Elephas maximus indicus: one gene and its partners. The protein of the gene in region 3 binds, or shares a complex with, the protein of the main gene of each other region. Links are inferred from orthologs where the notes say so. Each region holds a gene or a part of one and is shown on either strand. Other genes may lie near its edges. The genes, in order: LAMTOR3, LAMTOR4 and FLCN.

Evidence for each region.
Region 1: FLCN (region 3) and LAMTOR3 share a complex: the UniProt entries of both Homo sapiens proteins name them as parts of the lysosomal folliculin complex. The link is inferred for Elephas maximus indicus from reciprocal best matches to the Homo sapiens genes FLCN and LAMTOR3.
Region 2: FLCN (region 3) and LAMTOR4 share a complex: the UniProt entries of both Homo sapiens proteins name them as parts of the lysosomal folliculin complex. The link is inferred for Elephas maximus indicus from reciprocal best matches to the Homo sapiens genes FLCN and LAMTOR4.

What each region holds. Positions count from the first base shown.
Region 1 is NC_064823.1:53,260,959-53,268,582, forward strand, and holds the start of LAMTOR3 (ragulator complex protein LAMTOR3), read left to right. Parts: upstream 1-4,584; 5' UTR 4,585-4,739; intron 4,740-5,034; 5' UTR 5,035-5,071; coding exon 5,072-5,080; intron 5,081-7,624. UniProt on the Homo sapiens protein: As part of the Ragulator complex it is involved in amino acid sensing and activation of mTORC1, a signaling complex promoting cell growth in response to growth factors, energy levels, and amino acids.
Region 2 is NC_064830.1:91,691,745-91,699,111, reverse strand, and holds the start of LAMTOR4 (ragulator complex protein LAMTOR4), read right to left. Parts: upstream 3,057-7,367; 5' UTR 2,960-3,056; coding exon 2,957-2,959; intron 2,476-2,956; coding exon 2,395-2,475; intron 650-2,394; coding exon 532-649; intron 195-531; coding exon 97-194; 3' UTR 1-96. UniProt on the Homo sapiens protein: As part of the Ragulator complex it is involved in amino acid sensing and activation of mTORC1, a signaling complex promoting cell growth in response to growth factors, energy levels, and amino acids.
Region 3 is NC_064820.1:215,293,126-215,300,100, reverse strand, and holds the start of FLCN (folliculin), read right to left. Parts: upstream 2,991-6,975; 5' UTR 2,917-2,990; intron 2,910-2,916; coding exon of another isoform or gene 2,319-2,909; intron 1,561-2,318; exon of another isoform or gene 1-1,560. Other genes in the region: uncharacterized protein LOC126068403, read right to left, coding at 2,319-2,909, 2,991-3,154, 3,382-3,520. UniProt on the Homo sapiens protein: Multi-functional protein, involved in both the cellular response to amino acid availability and in the regulation of glycolysis.

The DNA of each region.
Region 1 (7,624 bases), on a different chromosome or scaffold from region 3:
GTAGTTACATTGCTCTTTAATGTACTAATAAATTACTTAGTTTGATCCCATGTACAAAGATAACATAACAGCATCTTTTGAAACACATTTCAAAGAACATATTTTGTATTGCAAATTAGGTATCTGTCAGTTTAGAATTACAATTTGTTTCTTAGTCTTCATACTTCAGTGGCAATATTTTCTCTTTGTACAATTATGGTAGTATTACAGATATGCCCCCATTTCAAATGGATGTGTTAAAACACAATCTTAAACTGGCTTCTTTATTCCAAACAATATTTCATACTGAAAATGAAGAAGGACCCAACAAATGTAGAATTTATTATGATATAGTTGACTTATGAGTTAAATCTCAGTATTTTATTAATTACTTTTAAAGTTGCTATTGCAAAAATACTAAGGATTTTTAAAATTTGGAGCCCTGGTGGCGCAGTGGTTAAGGGCTACGGCTACTAACCAAAAGGTCGGCAATTCGTATCCACCAGTTGCTCCTTGGAAACCTTATGGGGCATTTCTACTGTGTCCTATAGGGTTGCTATGAGTCGGAATCAACTTGATAGCAATGGGTTTGGTTTCAGTTTTAGGTAGAAGTATTACTGTTTTACATAATTTAACGAGCCTCTTGTTACTCAAATAAAACATTAACTTTTTCTGTCCTGAGCGATGATTGCATATCTAGAAAATTTATGGGATAAAATTTGGAAGAGGAAACTAGAACCTGGCTTCATTATGCCTAGAAACCAACCACTCTGATCTTTTCCTTAGATCTTGTATACTCTCCCACTGTCTTTGACCCCAATCTCCCACCCTGTGTTCAGCACCACTTCTACTGTAATCCCATATAATATAGGCTATGGAAAGTTAATAAACTCTGTCATATTTTCAGTCAAATCGAAGGGAAAATATCACTGTATTTCATCGGATCTAATAAGCAATCAATTTAAGATACATCTCAGTTTCAGAGATGTTAAAATGTTAGGGGGAAATCCATCTCAGAATCGATGAAATACAGTATCATGCATTTCATTCTAACTTTATTGGTGATATCAGAGCCTTTGTTTCTGATTCTCTTAAAGTTCTCTTACCTGTTATATACAACAGAGATCTCAACTTTTTTTATTCTGGTTTTTTAACAATATATGCAGTGTCTTTACTAACTATATATACAGGTACTGGTATGCTGTGAAGGAGCCCTGGTGGCACGATGGCTGCTAACCAAAAGGATGAAGTAATCAATTTGGCTAGAGTAGAAGATTCACACTAGAATGTATTTGGAAGTCACTGCTCTCACAGGGATCACAATAGAGGGTCACAGACAGAGCTGGAGAAAAATGTTGACCAAAATTCTAACTCAAAAAGAAAGGCCAGATTTGCTGGCCTGACAGAGACTAGAGAAACCCTGAGAGTATGGCCCCCAGACACCCTTACAGCTCAGTAATGAAGTCATTCCTGAGGTTCACCCTTCACCCAAAGATTGAACAGGCCCATGGAACAAAACAAGACTAAAGGTGTGCACCAGCCCTGGGGTAGGGACTGGAAGGTAGGAGGGAACAGGAAAGCTGGTAACAGGGAACCCAGGGTTGAGAAAGGAGAGTGTCGACATGTCATGGGGTTGTTAACCAATGTCATAGAACAATGTGTGTACTGTTTGATGAGAAACTAGTTTGTTCTGTAAACCCTCATCTAAAGTTCAATTAAAAAAAAAAGTACTCAGAAGTAAAATAGAGTATTAGTGCCAGATTAAAGACTGTCAACTTTGTCTGTGATGGTACATCACTAAAGATCTTCTTAGCAGGCAGTAATGAGTGTTTTAAGAAGGTTCATCTGCCAGTTATTAAATGGCTATTGATATAGTCTTGCTGAGTAGAAATACGGTCTGAATCAAGAATTGAAAAAATACAGATGCAAAAATCATTGTTAGGGAAGAAAAGACATATCATGAGGAAAGAAAGAGAGCAGCCAAACATGATTCCTGACTAGTAGAATCATGGTACTGGTACAGACATAGGAGAAACAGGTTTATTAGACCCAAGTTTTTTAGAGCTTTTGAGTTAGAGCTGACAGTAAGGTATGTAGGTAGAAATATCCAACATCCAGCAAGCAGCTAAGAATGTGAATCTAGAACTCAGAGGAAAGACTCACATTCTCAGAACACGGGAAAGAGAACATTGCAGAGGAACCCAAGATAAGCTTGGGAAATGCCATCATCTGAACAGTTAGAGACTTGAGTGGGTGGGGACCTGAAACAAATAAAGCGGTGTCCCAGAAACTAAGAAATCAAAGATTTTAAATAAGGAAAAGGAAGTAATCTTTAATGGTGTCAACTGCTATGGAACTGTCAAGTTCACTTGTAAAAATTTGTAGGTGCTCAAACAGATTTTTTGGATGGTAAGTCTGGTGTGAGGAGGGAAAGAAGAGCCAGGGAAACCCTGAAAAGTAACTAGGTTTATTGTGCTCACAGTTCCCAGAGGCAGGGAGGCACAACACACCATGATGCAGGGCCACACAGGGGTTGCACCCAGAGAAAAAACCCAAACCAAACCCACTGCCGTCGAGTCGATTCCGACTCAGCGAAGGTAACAACAAATTATAGGAAAAGGCTTATGTGTGGCAAGCAGGGCAGGGTTAGCTAGGTTTTTCTGGTTTCCTGGGGAATAGGCATTCTTGAATAACTCTGCAAGCTCAGGGGGTATAGAGGGCTGTCCTGAGTTGTTAGGTACCTGGCCCTGGGACAATTAGGGTGGGTGCATAGTGGCCCAGGAATGTGAGAACCTGATGAGGGGAGTGGTTGGAGAGTGGAATTAATCAGCTGCTGAAGAAGGTGAACGGACTAGCCTCCAGCCAGGGCCTCAAAGCAGTCAAGACAGCATTTTTTTTTTTTTTTAATTGTGCTTTAAGTGAAAGTTTACAAATCAAGTCAGTCTTTCATACAAAAACCCACCTTGCTATGTACTCCTAGCTGCTCTCCCCTTAATGAGACAGCACACTCCTCCTCTCCACCCTGTATTTCCTGTGTCCTTTCACCTAGTTCCTGTTCCCCTCTACCTTCTCATCTCGCCTCCAGAGAGGAGCTGCCCACATAGTCTCCTGTGTCTATTTGAGCCAAGAAGCTCACTCCTCACCAGAAAATGATACTGTCTTACAGTCCAGTTCAGGCCCTGTCTGAAGAGTTGGCTTCAGGGATGGTTCCAGTCTTGGGCTAATAGAGGGTCCAGGGACCATGACTTTCAGGGTCCCTCCAGTCTCAGACCATTACGTCTGGTCTTTTTTATGACAATTTGAGTACTGCATCCCACTGTTCTCCTGCTCCATTAGGGATTCTGTTATGTTCCCTGTCAAGACAGCATTTTAAGAAAATTATATTACAGTAGATCATTTGTGACATTTGGGAACTCTATGGTTTACAATTGCCTCTTGTCAGGTATAGTTGTAGGAAATATGTATCCAAGACTTTTCACCATGTCTTAGGCTAGACTTAATCCCTTTTGCATTCCTGCTTTTAGGGGCGGGAAATGAAGATCAGTCTTAAACAAGTTTCCATAAATCTCGGAATTTTCCAAGACATACTACCCAGCTTTGAATAAATGAAACCAGAGGTAATCTGCAACTAAAGCCATGAACTTCAGTTTTCCTAGGAGGGGCTAAGGCAGTGGTTCTCAACTGGGGTGTGATTTTGCCCCCCAGGGGATTTTTGGTTGTTACAAAAGTGGGGGGGGGTGATGGGGGGAAGGGAGGAGGGAAGACTGCTAGCATCTAGTGAGCATAGGCAAGGGATGTTGCTAAACAGCCTAAAATGCACATGACAACCCCCTTCAACAAAGATGTATCTAGCCCAAAGTATCAGGAGTGCAGAGATTGAGAAACCCTGGGCTGAGGTGATCGGAGAGGGTTTCCCCCTTACCATACTTCGTAATCTTCCTACTACCTACTGTAGGTTTTTGTTAAACGTGAAAACAAGCAAGGCACCAAGCAAAAAATATTTTAGGCAATGCTTAGAAGGCAATCCCACATGTCAAGAACCAATGAGAAAACGTAGTTCAGTGCGTACCTTAAAAGAAGCAGAAGCTTGGGGTGCTGCTTGACTCCCCGAGCGCTCCAGAAAGCCCATGGCTCCTCGATTCAATCTAGACAAAACCTTGAGCAAAGAGCATGTAGGGTGACATCCATGGGAAAGCCAAAAAGAGACTAGGAAATCGGGACCAGAAACCTGTAGATCTGGAATTTCTAATCCCTGGGCAATCAATCTCATACAGCTCGTTAACGCCCTCCCTTCCACTCATTTACAAGAATAACTTTTAAGGTACTGGCCCTAAAAAACTAATAAAATTTATGCACGTTCTCCGCACAAAAATGTCTTCTTGCACAAGAACATGCATACATTTTCTGGGGGCTTTCGGGCCCAGCAATCTCTTTAAGAATCGCCTAAGAGTTCAAATCCGTCCGGCCCAAGGCAAGCGGGAGGGGCGGGGTAGCGCGGGCGGGGCGAGGCAGAAAGGGCCGGGGCGGGGCATCGCGGGCGGGGCGGGGCAGGGCGGAGCACCGCGAGCCAAAAAGCGCTCAGTTTCCGCCTACAGTCCCCGGAAATCCTGTGTCACCGGGCGTCGGAGGCGTAGGAAGTGCTTCCTGGGGGCCGACGAGGTCACAAATCATGTGAGGGCCGCTTGGGGAGGAACCTGTCTCCTAGTGTCCCTGAAGTGCCCGCAGAGAGAACCCGGGCATTCCCGGGAGCGGAAACCCAGGTAACTGGCGCCACTTTGCCCGGCATAGGGACTTGTGCCCGGGGATAGCGAGGGAGGGCTGTTGGTGGGGGAAACGAAGGGGGAGAGGGCACCACTTTTCCTAGCCTTTGGGCCCAGATCTCGGGGTGGTGGTGGTGGAGTGGGCTGAGGTAAGACATCCCGGATTCCCGTCGAGGTCTTGGGGAACACCTACTCCTTCGGCCTCTTTGGTACGGTCCTAGAGCCGCGGAGTCGGCTGGGGGTGGAGAAGGCGAGGAAGCTTCGAAGGAATAGTCACCAGAGGTTTCTCTTCCAGGCGTGGAGATTGATCCTGCGAGAGAAGGGGGTTCATCATGGCGGATGTGAGTTGACATTCTTACACAGGAAAAAAGGAGAGGGTGGGAGTTTGGAAAGGATACTGGGCGGGGAGAGGTAGAACTCCCCATGTACAGACCTTTCTTTTAGGCGTTCCTCCCGATTTTTTTCCCCTAGGGTCTGGAGTGGGAGACTGATAAGAATGGATTTGTGGGGTTCTGAGTTTCTGTCCAGTATGGGGTTTGAGGAGAGACTCTTAAGATATGCTTGAGGGTGAGAAGATTGTATTCTCACACCCCAATCCTGTGAACATCAAAGAAGCCCTGTGTGTTTACCATTTGAGCTTCTAAATGATGGTCTGCAGTCTTCCCAATCACTGTGTGGTTAGTAGGACATGTGCACTGAATGCTTTACTTTCCAGTAACCAGTCATGATGTCTCACTTGGGATTATTGTGACAACTTGAAATTCCTCTTTAGCACAGCAGTAAGACCCAAATTCCAAGCTTAGGGGACTTAATTGTACTAGTTACTGAAAAGTGCAGAGAATTACTGATACTAATGTTTATATTTTACATCCTGTTATCTTGCCGAATATTCTTCCAAACATTGAGTATATACTAATTTATTCTTATAACAACATTTAGAAGTAGGTACGATTATTATTCGTCTTATAGATGGTGATGCAAAGCCACAAAAAAATAAAGTAACTCACCCGGGGTTACACAGCTAGTAAGTGGTGAAGTCAAGAGAACAACGCTGACAGTCTGGCTCCAAAGGCTATATTCTTATCCACCACACTGAATGGTCATTCAACATGAATACAAATCCAGTTTTTCCTTTTAGGTTGCAAGATTATATGGTTCAAAGATTTAGGAACTTTTTATGCCTTTACCCACCGCTTATTTTTTTAGTACCATCGGTTATATTTTTGAGACCTTAATTCTTCACCTGTAGTCAAATCACTAAATATTGAGCATCTGCCTTGGAAAAGTTGCTATGATAAGGGCTATGGGTAAAATAAAGATGATTAAGGGATAATTCTTTAAGGGTTTTTAAGATTAATAGAGGAATAGGTAAGTGATCATAGATATGCATACATAATAGTGTGAAAATTGAGGAAAGGATTACATCTGGTTTTTGTCTATCAGAAAAGACTATTTGGAATATTTGATGGTTGAGATTTAGCTCTGAAAGCTGAGTAGCATCTTTTTTTTTTTTAAAAGTAAAATCGAGAGCAAAGTATTTCTAGTAGCGTGAATAGCATAAACAAAGTCCAAGAGTTAAGAAGGGAGAGGTGTGTGTGGAGAAACTGAGTCGACCAGCTTAGTTGGAGCTGTGGATATGTATGAGGATACAGAACTGTAAAATTAGACCTAGACTATGTTGTAGAGAACCTCAAATGTCTAAAGAGTTTGTACGTAATCCAGTGAAAGCTGGAGGGCCATTCAAACCTTGGCTACCCAGGGAATACCTCCAGCCCAGGCATCAATATTATTAAAGCTTCCCAAGTAATTTCTATAGCAAGGTTGAGAACCACTGCAATAAGGCTTTAGAGAAGGAGAATAATATGATTGGCGCAGTGTGGAATAGGATAGAAATGGGAGACGAGAATACCAGTTGGGAGATTAGTGCAAGTCATAAATAGTAAAAGAAATAAAAATAACAGTGTCTGTGGAAAAACAGGAAAAGATCAATTTAAAAACATTTTATTTGACAAGTGATTTAAAAGTGGCAAACGTGAATTAAAGTTAAATGTTAACTCTTGGTTTCAAACCTAAAACCAGGGGATTGGTAGTGCCATTAGTGGAGAGAAGAAGAAATTGAGGAAATCTGGATTCAGGGGCAACAGGATGAGTTCATTTCTCTGTGTGTGTGTGTATTAAGATGAAAGCAAGGTAAGCTGGTAGCGATGCATTCAGGTTTAGACAATTGTAGGTATTAGAGGTTCTGAAGAATAGATGGTATCTGATTCATCTACATAGAGGTCTTAATTGAAGCCTAGATGGTCATTTTCCCCAGATGAGAGATACGAGGAGGCAAAATAAAGTAGTCTTCCATTTCTTTAGTTCTGATTATGATTTAGGCGTCTCTGGGTGGTGCAAATGGTTAATGCACTCACTGTTCACTGAAGGGTCGGTGGTTCATTTCCACCCAGAGGCACCTCGGAAGAAAGGTCTAGCGATCTACTTCTGAAAAATCAGCCATTGAAAACCTTATGGAGCACAGTTCTGCTGTAATACAATGGGGTTGCCATGAGTCGCAGTCAACCCTAGGGCAACTGGTTTTGTTATTTTGGTTTAATTAACGTTTCATGCTTAAACACACTTTGTGTTGTCATTGTAATCATCTGAGAATCATTAAAAGTGATATTAGAAAATCTTATTTATAAATATAGCAAGATAGTCATATATTCTCAAGCAAACACAGCAGTAGCAACAGGATATACAATAGTATGGAAAGTATAATCTGATTTTACGTGTAATGTAATTTTTGTTTTCTGTTACCAGGTATGCTAATCACTTTATATGCATCTTCTCAATAAACTGTAACAGCAATCTTATTAAATAGGCTCTATGAGTATTCTTACTTT
Region 2 (7,367 bases), on a different chromosome or scaffold from region 3:
TGCAAGCCGAGAAAGTGGTGGAGGACACTGTGCCTTCCTCATCGCAAGCGGCTCATGGACCCAATCCACATTCTCCGACCCTCCCCTCTCGCAGGGTCAGATGTCAATGGGCTCCCGGCCTCGGTTCTGCCTCTTCACCACAAACACCCTCTGTCCTGACACGGTCACCAGCAGCGTGTGTTCTCCAAAGACCACTGGAGGAGAGACGCCCCAGGAGAGGGAAGGGAGCACAGGGTTAGTGTGGTGCGATGGCCTCCATGGGATCACAGAAGTTGGCTGATACCAAAAGCCAAAGAAATTCTATAGTTCAAGGCTCAAAAGATGAGAGGCCTCCAATAAGTCCCCTTCTTGCTCATATCAACTCTGGTCCAGGGGAGGGGACCTCAAAGGGAAGAAAGTGGCCAGAACCAGCGACCCCAGGAGGCGATGACAGAAGAGTTGGTAGGAGATAGTCTTTTTTCCCTGAGAAGCAGCAGCCTTTGGGAGAAGCCCCCTTCCCCCCACACCACCAGGGCAGAGATGGGGGCTCACCTGACAGGCGTTTGAAGGGTATGTTCATGCCCGGGTGCAGCCGGAAACCACAAGCGGTGCTGACCAGCTCAGAAATGGCGCTGGCTGCCTGCTCGTCATTCTCTAGATCCCCAGACGACTGCACGCAGGTGGGAGGGAGGAGGGCAGAAATGAGGGAAGAGAATTGGGAAGGAATTCCAGGCAGTCACTTTGTCTCTAGTGTGTGGAACCTCTCCCTCTTCACTTTGCAAGATTCCTAGGTTACCCCAGTTCTGGAAAAACAACTAAAACCTTCCTTGGTGTTATAGCTTCCTCTTTGTGTCATCCTATTTCTCATTCTTATAATACTGGGCTTCCCCTGATGATTCTTCATCCATTTCTTTACTGACCATTCTTTCCTAGCCCCTTGGAAATTGACTTTGTTCCCTGTCCCCAAGTATTTGATAAAACTACATTCTCGAAAACCAATACTCAGCCCTGAAAATGACCACTGAATTGTTAGAAGATCCGTCTTTTCTGTCTTCCCATTTACTGCCCTGTTTGCAGAATCTGGAGCACAACCATCCCCTTTGTCCTGACATCTCTCCCTACTACCCAGACCTTGGGTCAGTGCTGTGACAGTGGCCTGGGCTTCCTCTTTTTCTGGTGACTATCTCAACTTCCTCTCCCACCTCCTTGATATGGGCCTCCCACTAAGTTAAGTTTACTGCACTTCGCTCCCTTGGACATTCTATACTCCAGTTCTCTCATCTGCAAACTGGGAACAATACAGTACCTTATAAACTTATTATGAAGATTAAATAATATTGGCAAGATGCTTAGAACAGCTCCTACCATTTACATTAACTGCTGTTATTCCACACCAAACTCAATGTTTAAAGTCAAAACATGGAATTCCCTGTACTTCCCACCCTCCCCAATCAACTTCCTTTCTTCATTTCCTGTTTGTTGAGGCACCATCATTCTTCCAGGTTTATGAGTTCAAAGCCTTACTAGATGGAGAAGTATCTCCTCCATTACCTATATCTAGTCATTCCTCCTCTAAATTTATTTTCTCGCTCCTCATTGCCACCAGCCCAGTCTCATACCTAGTTTACTGCCCAGTCTTGAAAATTCATCACCCCCTACTCCATCTTCACACTGCTAACAGAAAAATCTCGCTAAAGCATTTCATCAGGTAGTGTTCCCGTTCAAAAGCCTTCAATAGCTCCTTACTACCTTCAAGATTAAGTCCAAATGTACAAATCTGGCTTTGAAAGTCCTCCACAATCTGGTCCTTTCTTTACAATATCCTTTTCTTCCCCCAAACCTTTCCAAATCTTCTCCATGTGACACCCACCAAATCAGACAGGTTGGTGTCACACACCTGCAAATATGTCCACTTCCCAGCCCCAAAGAACTCTCTTCCTCTTCACAACTACCCATCCTGGATTTCTACCTCCAAGACAGTTTCCTTACCATAACACAAGTTATTACATAATATAACATGAAGGGTTGATTTCATCAGTAGTCTTTACCACTCACCCTGCTTTCAACTTTTAACCTTTTAAGCATTGTTTCTTTAGCTAAATTGAAAACTTCTAGAAAGCTAACACTATATTGTACTATGGAACAAAATACAAAGCCTAGTCAATAAATACCAAATACATACTTGAGAATAACTCAGGTAATATCAGTTACCAACAAACTTGTGACCCTTAATAGAGTTAGTAAGCCTCTTTTATCTCAGGAAAGTTGGAGACGGATTACTGAAACTTACTATACACTAGGCGTGCTACTAGGTGATAACAAAGAATAGAGACAAATTCGGGTAAAATGGGCAATACTGTAAGAGATGATGGACGATGTGTTCTTAGGGGATCCCCTCCCTTCCCCAGAACGCACCGCCAACACTGCGCCTTCACTCAGCACCAAGTAGCCAAGCTGGTCTGGGATTCGCTCCAGCCCCTGGGTCAGTGCAGAAGTCTAGTGGTTAAAGGAGCAATCAGTGAGAAGCACGCCAGGAAGGTGGCCCTCGACACCCGTGACCTGCAAACCCAAGGCCCTCTCTTGATGACAGTCCCCCAGGCCTTCTCTTCCCCAGCCAGGACCCTTCCCTCTACCTGGCCTCAAACACTGAGCTTTCCCTTGCCTTCTGTGCCTCCGTCTGTCCTCTCTATCTCCCTCTGCCCGTGGGCTCCCTCGGCCTCTCACATCCTACCTTTGATGTGATACCCCAGTATGTCTTCACAGCCCCACTGGTCCCTCACATCAGACCCTCCAACTCCCCTCGTGCCCCGCCCCTCCAGCACTCTCTGTCCTTAGTCCCTCCCGTCTCCACTCTTCCAGTCCCGGGGTGGCTTGCGGTGAAGGTGGGGTGCAGGCCCAGGAAGGGGCAACCAAGAAGGTTGGGGGACTGGAACGCGGAACCCCCAGCGCGTACTCCCGCGCATGCGTCCTCACTCACCATCGCAAGCTTTAGGTGCTGGGGGCACTCCCTACCAGAGGGGCAGCTTCCTAACCGAGTCCCAGATCACGTGCTTCCTGCGCGGCGCCGCCGCACTTCGGCCCCGCCCCCAGCATGACTGGAGCATGGGCTACATCATCAGACCGAATCTACCAGTGAGAAGCGCCGTTTTGCGAAGACGCGCGCGGATTGGTCACGTACCCTCTTTAACACCCGTATCCCGCCCCTCAGAGCTTGAACGCCAGGAGGAGGGGGAAGTGTGTGTAGGGGTTAGAGGAGCGGGGAAGGCCCTGGAGCGGGTAGGGCTGAGATTGCGCGAAGGAGGGCTCACGGGGTAAAATCTGGGTTTGGCTTCCTAGAGTGCGACCCGAAGCGAAAACATTTATTGGGTTTCAGATTTCTTCACCCTAAAAGGAGATAATAAAATAAAATCATGCTTCTGAAACCTATTCAAAATGGTATTCTTATGCCTACTCTAGGCAACTGGGATGCTCAAAGTGGTGCCCCCCCGCCCCATACAGCCAACAGAAAATACTGCATATTCTCTGCCCAGAAAAATTAGTAACAGGACCTTGGAGCGAGGTATCTTCATATATCACAAAATGCTAGGAGCCCTGGTGGTGCACTGGTTAAATACTTGGCTGCTAATCAAAAGTTTGCTGTTCAAACCCACCTGCCATTCTGCAGCAGAAAGATGTGGCAGTCTGCTTCCAAAGATTTACAGCCTTGGAGACCCTATGAGGCAGTTCTACTCTATGCTATAGGGTCGCTATGTGTTGGAATGGACTAAACAGCAACGGGTGTTTTGGTTTTATCACAAGATATGTGTAAACATAGGAATAGACACTTTCCAGAGCTGCTGCAATACTAAAGGGACTAAGGCAGTGTTGGTGAGGTAAAATAAAGATAATTCCAGAGATAATAAGTACTTGTAAAGAAATCGGAACCTTCATACACTGCTGGTGGGAATGTAAAATGGTGCAGCCACTGTGGAAAACAGTCTGTCAACTCCTCAAAATGTTAAAAATATAATTATAATATTGTTACATCCCACTGAGTCGAATTCTACTCACAGTGACCCTATATGACAGAGTCGAACTGCCCCCATAGGATTTCCTAGCCTATAATCTTTATGGGAGCAGATCGACAGTTATTTTCTCCCGTGAACTTGTTGGCGGGCTCAAGCCACTTACCCTTTGGTTTTATCAGCCAAATGTTTAACCATTGTGCCACGAGGGCTCCTCATCAAACCACACCAAACTTACTGCCTTCCAGTTGTTTATGACTCAACGCGAACCTATAGGACAGAGTAGAGCTGCCCCATAGGGTTCCCAAGGCTGTAAATCTTTAGGAAAGCAGACTGCCACATCTTTCTCCCTCAGAGCTGCTGGTGGGTTTGAATCACTGACCTTTTGGTTAGCAGCAAAGCACTTTAACCACTACACCACGAGGACTCCTTAGGGCTCCTCATAGGACCCAGCAATTCTGTTCTTAGGTATATCTCAGGAGAATTTGAAAACATGTTCACGCAAAAACTTACACATGAGTGTTCATAGCAGCATTATTCATACTAGCCAAAAAGTAGAAGCAATCCAAATAGCCATTTACTTATGAAAGAATAAATAAAATGTGGTATATGCATACAATTGAATATTGTTTAGCCATAAAAAAGAATGAAAGGATCCTGAGGTTCACCCTTCAGCCAAAGATTAGACAGGCCCATAAAACAAAACAAGACTAAAGGGTCACATCAACCCAGAGGCAAGGACTAGAAGGCAGGAGACACGAAAGCTGGTAATAAGGAACCCAAGGTCAAGAAGGGAGAGTGTTGACATGTCGTGGGGTTGGTAACCAACATCACAAAACAATATATGTACTAGTTGCTTAATGAGAAGCAAGTTTGTTCTGTAAACCTTCATTTAAATACGATAATTAAAAAAAAAGAGAGAGAGAAAAGAATGGAAGGAGCCCTGGCGGTACAAATGGTTAAGCACTCGACTGCTAACCATAAAGGTTGGAAGTTCAAACCCACTCAGCAGCTCTGAAGGAGAAAGACCTGGCAATCTGCTTCAGTAAAGATGACAGCCAAGAACACCCTATGGGGCAGTTCTACTCGTCACATGGGGTGGCTATGAGTTGGAATTGACTGGACAGCACCTAACAATAACAACAACAAAAGAAGTGAAGTACTGATATATGCTACAATGTGGTCGAACCTTGAAAACATGCTAAATGAAAGAAACCAGACAAAGGAAGCCATGTGATTCCATTTATACGAAATACCCAGAATAAGCAAATACATAGAGACAGAAAGCAGATTAGTGGTTTCCAGGGGCTGGTGACTGCTCTTTGGGAAAAAGAAGTGGCTGTCTGCTTCCACAAAGATTTATAGCCTTGGAAATCTTATGGGGTAGTTCTATTCTGTCCTGTAGTGTGGCTATGAGTCAAAATTGACTAGATAACAATGGGTAGGGATTGATGGGACAGAGAATGGGGAGTGACTGTTAATGGGTACAGGGCTTTTTTGGGAGGTGATAAAAATGTTCTGGGATTATAGACTGGTAATGGTTGCATAGCCTAGTGAACATACTAAAATCCACTGAATTGTACACTTTGAAATGGCAAATTATATCTCAATAAAAAAAATAAGTACTGTTGCTTGAGGAGAAACAGCTAATTAGAGAAGGTGGATGCCTTTACAAAAATGAGAGAAGATCTAAATTTAAATTATAAAATTTAAACTGGAAGGGGATGTAGAGAGAGAAAATTCCGTGGAGACACTTAATTTACAAGACCTTCCTGGCCTTAAAAATCACTGGGTGGCACCAGGGTTGGATTACCTAATAAGCAAGGTAAGCACGTGCTTAGGGCATCAACAAAACAGGGGTACCAGTTGTCCAAAGCAAAGATCTGTAATGCTAAGCAGACAGGGCACAAGGAAAAGCAAGTGCTGCAGTGGAAGGGAACTGGCAGTGCACTAAATGAAATTGATACCATTTTATAAATTTTGTGTACAATAACAATCATATTTTCTTTTCATTTCGCATCAATTGGGTATAACCCCATATTCAATTCTCGTGGACCACATAAGAACGTGTCAGTCGCACAATAATCACGTGACTCATGACGTATCCAGTCCCACAAAGTTAACCAAAACACTTCTTCAGATTGAGCATACCCTTGTAGTTGTATCATGCTCTTTGCGATTGCTCTCGCCCTGGTTGGGTATCAGTAGTAGTCCAATGAACATGAAGACGCAGCATCAAAGTAGAAAAAGTAAGCATGCACGTTTTTAAGTGTTATTTCAAGGGGAAAAACACTTGTGGAGATCTGGAGAGGGCCTGCCAACAAACATTGTATGACAAACGAATGAAATTACTTCCTATTGCCTTGTAAGTACTATTTCTTTTGACTCAGACCTGAAGAACAAAATTACATGTTCCAAATCAATTGTTTTACCTATTTTCAAATATAAATTTTTGTGTTAATGTCCAAATTCGTATGTAAAATTTATTTTATAAATAAATATAAATTTCACTTGTTTTATAAGTTTTATTTATTGTCAGTTATTCATATTTATTTGCTGTGTTAGAACCAAATTTCAAAAGTGACATAATTTTATATCCAGGTAAAATGAAATGGCAACAACTAAGTGGAGTGCAAAAATGAAAGCTCACAGATGATAGAAAGAAAAGGATTTGTGAATCCCTAAAAACAAGTCCAAAATTAACTTCCTTTTAAAAATGTAATGAATTAGTAGAGACTTCTTCTGTTGAATACTCAAGCTTAATGGGTGCAAATCATTGTAGTAGTACCGGCAGTGCTGAAATTACTAATAGCAATATGAATATGAAAGAGTTTGTTCCAAATTCTGCATCCATTCCCTCTCACCTTGGCCCTGCACCCCTTCCTGATGGGCTGTGCTGTGCTACCTGGTGAAAGAGACATCAGTTTGCTGCCACCCAATTCTGCTCCATCTCCAACTGCCACCACCACCACCATCATATTTTTTGTTGTTGTTCTTTTTATTTATTTATTATATTTGTTTCTCTGATTGTTGGTGTCTTCTGTCTCCTTCCCCTCTTTCCATTCCTTTCTCCCATCCACCTAGCCCCATGTGCCACCCACACCACTTCTCAACAGGTTGAGCCATACTACTCAGGTAGAGCGCCACCAGCACATAGCCTCGCTGGGTCTGCCCCACCCCCAGCCACTGAATCCTACTGCACCACCATTTTATTTACTTTTACTTAAATTTTTGCCTTTTTTTTTTTTGCCTTTGTTTCTCCCTCTTTTTTCACTCACCCATTTAGCTCTGCACATCACATCTTCTCCTTTCCCTCTGCCTATCTTCACCATGCACTGAGTGCCACATTCTGAGCAGTACTAACACAGTCCCTTAGACCCCGCC
Region 3 (6,975 bases):
CCTGCCTGACAATCCCTTCAACATTATAGTCAAACCAAGTATTCAGGCACCTGAAAGAGACAGGCTTCCTGTCCACCTTCCCCTCACACACTGGCTAAGTCCATGGACCCGACAGTGCTCTCTGCACTCATCCCTCACCCGCCCCCGCAGCCATGTCGTAGCCTACGCCCTGGACCTATTCATAGGACCATTTGGATTAGACAGTAAATGAAAGTACTTTGCAAATAAATGAGGTATCACAATGGTACTTCACCAGTCATGAGCATCAGACTCATCTCCCACAGAGGACCCTAAGTCAGTGCTTGGGATTTTAGTAAGAACAAGGTGGAAAAGGTCCACAGGGATTACTTTCAGCTCACACTCACTCACACTGTGGCTCTACTACTTCTACTGACATCACCTAGGCTTCTGTTTACACAACTCCTTGATATAAGACACTAGAAGAGGAAACACTGTCACATGCCACTATTACTCAACGGCTCAATGACAATGTTGGTGATCTAGTGCCTCCAGCACTAAATTGGCCATGGCCTTTCTCTGCTGCAACACGGAGGCCCTCCTGCCAACCTAACTAGATACCAATGGGTGGTGCCAGGTGTCCAAGGGCCAGAGAACCAGTACCTCCTTTCAGCAAGCTCCTCCTCGCCCTCTGCCTCAGGTGGCTGGAACTGACCAGTTTGGACCTTCATCTGCAACAAACCAATCCCTGGGCTCCACATTCTTTTCAGGTGAAAAGGATACCACTAACACCCACCAAACTAGAAGAAGTTGCCCATCTACTCTGCCCTGAAGGACACCCATATAGGCCTATTAGCTTTGTCAGAAGGCTCTCAGAATGCAGGCCTGGGAGAAAAAGAATCATGACACCCACTTTCCCCTAAACCAGAGGGAAGGCAAAATCTAGGCGGGGGTAGGCAAAATTAAATGAAAATAGATCAATGATCCTGATGGGGAGGGGGGGCGGTGTTAAGCTCAGATCACATTTCTTTTTTTTTTTTATTGTGATCTAAGTGAAAGTTTACAAATCAAGTCAGTCTCTCATACAAAAATTTATATACACCTTGCCATGTACTCCTAGTTGCTCCCTCCCTAATGAGTCAGCACACTCCTCCTCTCTACCCTGTATTCCCTGTGTCCATTCAGCCAGCTTCTGTCCCCCTCTGCCTTCTCATCTTCCCGCCATACAGGAACTGCCCACATAGTCTCACGTGTCTACTTGAGCCAAGAAGATCACTCCTCAACAGTATCATTTTCTGTCTTATAGTCCAATCCAATCCCTGCCTCAAGAGTTGGCTTTGGGAATGGTTCCAGTCTTGGGCCAACAGAAGGTCTGGGGACCATGACCTCCGGGGTCCTTCTAGTCTCAGTCAGACCATTAAGTTTGGTCTTTTTACAACAATTGGAAGTCTGCATCCCACTGCTCTCCTGCTCCATCAGGGATTCTCTGTCGTGTTCCCTCTCAGGGCAGTCATGGGTTATAGTCGGGCATCATTTAGTTTTTCTGGTTTCAGACTGATGTAGTGTCTGATTTATGTCACCCTTTCTGTCTCTTGAGCTCATAGTTACCTTGTGTCTTTGGTGTTCTTCATTCTACTTTGCTCCAGGTGGGTTGAGACCAACTGATGCATCTTAGATAGCTGCTTGCTAGCATTTAAGTCAGGTCACATTTCTTATTTGTACACTCCAGGACTTCATGGATTTGCCCCTCCCCCATCCCAAATCTCACCCTCCCTCTGTATCACAGGTTCTTGGCAGATCCCTTCCACTATGACTCCAATCACTAACCAACCCCAGATCAACTTAAAATCCACTCAGCTATGCGCCCTCAGCTAACCCTGAAGACAGGTCTGGTTTCTCCATCCCCCTCAGGTCCCTGACCTCTCCTGGCTTTACACAACCGATCCTTCTCTCCACCAGGGCTCGCGCCCCTTCTACACCTGCAAACCTGCCTCAGCTAACGCTCTCCCCTTGCAGCCCCTCCGACCCCTATCACCCGGTTCTTTTCTTCAGTAAAGTAAAAAGATAACCCTCCTTCCTGGAGCCCAAACTCCCTTTCCGACTCTAGGAAAAAGCCCGGGGTTTTGGGGGCAGACAATCACAGTTCGAATCCCAAGTCTGCCTCTGACTGACTAGAGAAGTTAGCCATGGCTCTGGGCCTCAGGTTCCCCAAGGGCGATGTGGGGATAATCCCACATCCCCTCACCAGGCGCTAGAAAGGGGTTACATTCAGGTAACGCAAGCACAGCACCGCGCTCAGGGTCTGTCCAGCGGGAGAGCTGAGTACTTGAGAGCAACGATTCCCATTCCCTCGGGCCCTGTCACACACCCACTGTTAAACCCCACGCCGCGCTGTCTAGGGAACCAGAGCCTCGTGCCCCTCCTCCGACCCCAGACATAGATCCCATCCCATCCTTCCCTCTTGGCCCCAGGCAACCCGCCCCGCGGTCCTTCCCCCTCCCAGCAGGCAGGCGGCCTTCACCTGGCCCCACACGCTTGGCCCGGCCCCTCGCCTGGGTCCCGCCGCGGCCCCAGCCCCCACGGCCCAGCCCAGCCCAGCCCAGCCCCCTCTCCCGGGTCCCGCCGCGGCCCCCGGCCCCCACGGCCCAGCCCGGCTCCCTCTCTCGGGTCCCGCCGCAGCCCCCGGCCCCCACGGCCCAGCCCGGCCCCCTCTCCCGGGTCCCGCCGCGGACCCCGGCCCCCACGGCCCAGCCCGGCCTCCTCTCCCGGGTCCCGCCGCGGCCCCCGGCCCCCACGGCCCAGCCCGGCCCCCTCTCCCGGGTCCCGCCGCGGCCCCCAGCCCCCACGGCCCAGCCCGGGTCCCGCCGCGGCCCTCGACGTCCACGACCCCGGCCCAGCCCCCTCTCCCGGGTCCAGCCGCGTCCCCGGACCCCCCCAGCCCCCGACCCAGCCTCTCACCTGGGTCCCGTGGCAGCTCAGCACCGCCCCACAGGAGACAGAAGCGCCTGACTTGACCGGGCAACGCCATTCACCAGTTCCGTGGGGGTGGGCGGAGTAGGGGCAGGCCGAGCGCCCTCCGCCCTGAGGAAAGCCTGGCCGCGCTGGGCCCCGCACAAAGCTTCAGAGGACTGGCAACCTCGAGTCCGGCCGGAGGTCCGAAGCAGCCGCCCGCCACCCTTCTTCGCCGCCGCCGCCCCTGTCCGCCACCCCCCGCGAAAAGTACAGAATGGTTCCGACCACGCCGGCGGGGGACGCGGGCTATGAAAGGAAGCTATCTCGCGGGGGCGGGGTGTGCATGTGTACCTGAAAGGACAATTTGTTATAAAGAGATCTGAGGTACGTATAGTCAGCTTAAGACTTCTGATCCATAACGAAGAGAAAGAGAAACAGGAAGAAGCTTCAGCGTTGTAACACTGCCATCACGTTTAGCTCCGCGCTGACTCCGCCTTCTCCCCGCACTAGGAGGGTGGCCCTCGCAGGCTGGCACCCTGCCGGAGAGCGACGTGCCCTGCGATTTGGAGGCCCGTGTTGTCAATCCTTGGGGCGGGGTAGGAGTGCGCATGTGCGCGCCACACGCCGCTCACGGTGCACACAGGGTCTCTCCAGCAGCTGCTGAGTTTTCAAAATGCCAAGTTCAGTTACTGAATAATCACTATTGAAAAACACAACACCTGAGCGTCTGCTAGTCTGTTGTTAAGTGCTGTCCAGTCTGTTTCGACTCATAGCGACCCTATGTACAACATAAGGAAAGACTGCCGGGTCCTTCACCATTCTCAAAATCGTTGTTATGCTTGAGCCAATTGTCGCAGCAGTCGTATTTTGAGTGGCTTTCAATCTGAGGGGCTCATCTTCTGGCACTATATCAGACAATGCTCTGCTGCTTTTCATAAGATTTTCACTGGCTAATTCTTTTCAGAAGCAGACCGCTGGGTCCTTCTTCCTGGTCCGTCTTAGCCTGGAAGGTTAGCTGAAACCTGTCCACAGTGGATGACCCTGCTGGTATTTGAATATAGGTGGCATAGCTTCCAGCATCACAGCAACGCATAAGCCCCCACAGAACAACAAACTGACTGATGCGTGGGCACTGGTGAATCTCAAAATCTGCAGGTAAGACTGCAGGATGCTGGCTCATGTCCCAAGAACCAGAGGTCAGAAGCAGGATCCAGGCTGTTCTGTCTGGCTATCTCATAATTAATTTTGAACCATTAGTGCATATTGTAATGGGGTCCACAGAGCTCTGTTTCTGGGTTAAATACTTCTGAAGTCATGGGTACTAGAGTTTCTTGATAAAGACTAAGAGGCACTACAGAAAAAGAACAACCAAAAAAACCAAACCTGTTGCAGTCAAGTTGATTCCTACCCATAGGGACCCTGTAGGACAGAGTAGAACTGCCCCCACAGGGCTTCCAAGGAGCAGCTGGTAAATTACAACTGCTGACCCTTTGGTTAGCAGCCAAACGCTTAACCACTGTGCCACCAGGGCCCCCCAAAAAGATCAAAGACACCTTGAATTTCCAGGAAAGCTCATAAACTTCTTCCTGGTAACGAGTGTCCAGAATATGATTGTAATGAAGTATTGGGAAAGATCACAGTAAAGCCTCACTCTCCCTTCAAATTTCCAGGTTACGTTGAAAATGGGGCCTGATAGAAGAAAGAAATTGATGGGGGAAGAAAACGTTATGAGGTTGGGCATTCCTTTTAACCACCACCGGTCTGTCAGTTTGTCATGCTGAGGTGGCTTGTATGCTGCTCTGAGCTGTAAGCTATGCCACCAGTATTTCAAACACCAACAGGGTCATCCATGGTTTCAGGACAGCTTCTAGACTCAGAGTAGGAGAATAGACCTGACGACCTACTTCTAAAAATTAACTAACGCAAACTTTATGGGTCACAACAGAACATTGTCCAACTCACTTGCTTTCCATGTCATCAGGAGGGATCAATCGCTGGAGGAGGATATCATGTTTGGTGAACTACAGGGCCATTGAGAGCAGCGGAGACCCTGGGTGAGATGGATTGGCACAATAGCTGCAATGATGGACTCCTTCATGCTGGCAAGTGTAAGGATGGCACAGGAATGGGCACAGGCAACGTTTCATTGTGTTGTACATAAGATCGCTGTGAATCTGAGATGACTCCACGGCAGTAATCAATTTTGCTTTTAAATGACTAATTAGGAAACCCTGGTGGCGTAGTGGTTAATAGTGGTTAAGTGCTATGGGTGCTAACCAAAAGGTTGGCAATTCGAATCCACCAGGCGCTCTTTGGAAACTCTGTGGGGCAGTTCTATTCTGTCCTGTAGGGTCGCTATGAGTTGGAATCAACTCAACAGCACTGGGTTTGGTTTTTTTGTATACCTGTCAATAGAAAATAGGGTTTTCTTTGTTGTGTTCATTAGACCATACCCAAGTAGAACAGCGAAGAATACTGAATATACCATGGACTGCCAAAAGAACGAACAAATCTGTCTTAGAAGTACGACCAGAATGCTCCTTAGAAGCACGGATAGCGAGACCGCATCTTATATACTTTGGACATGTTGTCAGGAGGGATCAGTTCCTGGAGAAGGACATCATGCTTGACAAAGTACAAGGTCAGCGGAAAAGAGGAAGACCCTCAACAAGGTGGATTGACACAGTGACTGCAACAATGAGCTCAAGCATAACAACGATTATAAAGATGGCTCAGGACCCGACAGCGTTTCGTTCTGTTGCACATAGGGTCGCTATGAGTCGGAACCAACTCGATGGCACCTAACAACAACAACACAAGTAGAACGGGTTCTAAATCTAATCACTTCTGAATTATAGAAAGAAAAGATTAGACACAGCAACACACATGGCAGAAACAGGTACCTTGGGAGGATCATTTATAAGCCAAGAACACCAAGGAATGCCCAGGACTACCGACAAGGAAAGAATTGCCATAGCTGAGGCCCTGATCTGGACTTTAGCCTCCAGAACTGTTCGAAAATAAATTCCTGTTCTTTAAAGCTATCCACTTGTATAATTTGCGTTACAGCAGCCGTAGGTACCGAAGACATCTGTTTTTTCCTCATTCTTGAGACTAACATTCGTCAGTCATAAGCAAAGAAAAAGTTGTTTTATTTTGTTTTTTTCATCTTGTAACTTCAATTTTCAGAACGTAACTTCCTCGGTTTGTTAATGGGAGCCACCACCTTGCCTAGATTAACTTATTTCCATGATGATAAGCTAATGAAGGTCCTGAGATGAAGAAGGTCTATCCAACTGCTGCTATTTCAATAAAATGCAAGGTGTATTTACTACAGCTGGACTCACTTTATGCCATTATTATCTTTCCCAATATCACTGGCCTTAGCCAACTACCTCTTTTGGAGGGGTTTTCTCAAATATAACTAAAAACCTGTTAAAAACTACCCCAAAAACTGCAAACCAAATCCACTGTCATCAAGTCAATTTCGACTCACAGTGACCCCACAGGGTTTCCAAGCCTATAAATTTCTACAGAAGTATCAAAGCACCGACCTTTCAATTAGTAGTCTATTGCTTCAACCACTGCATCACCAACCTGCCAAATCCTTGCCCCAGTGAATTGTACCAAGGGTTAATTAAACTGGGTTCTCACAGAGTATAAACTTTAAGAGGAGTCAACAAAATGGACATACTAGAAGCCAGAAAATGAATCCCATGTTATCAGTGGGAAAGACAATTAAAACTCAGCAGAAATATTCAGAAAACAAAGAAGACAAGAATGCACATATATACACCCACTCCTCACTTATGAACATGGTTAGGTTCCAAAGACCAGATGTTATGCAAAAATCAGCACTATGCGAAAACAGAAGATGACCACATCAGATTGCAAAATGGAGTATGACTACATCATCATATAACTGACAAATTACATCATTACATAACTACCAAACCACTGAGATCATGGCCAAACCTTAACCGTCACAGCCAGCATTACTATCGCCTTACAGCTTGATGTTTGTTACTGCCAGGCACACATTGTTAATGTGCAAAATAGTCAGAT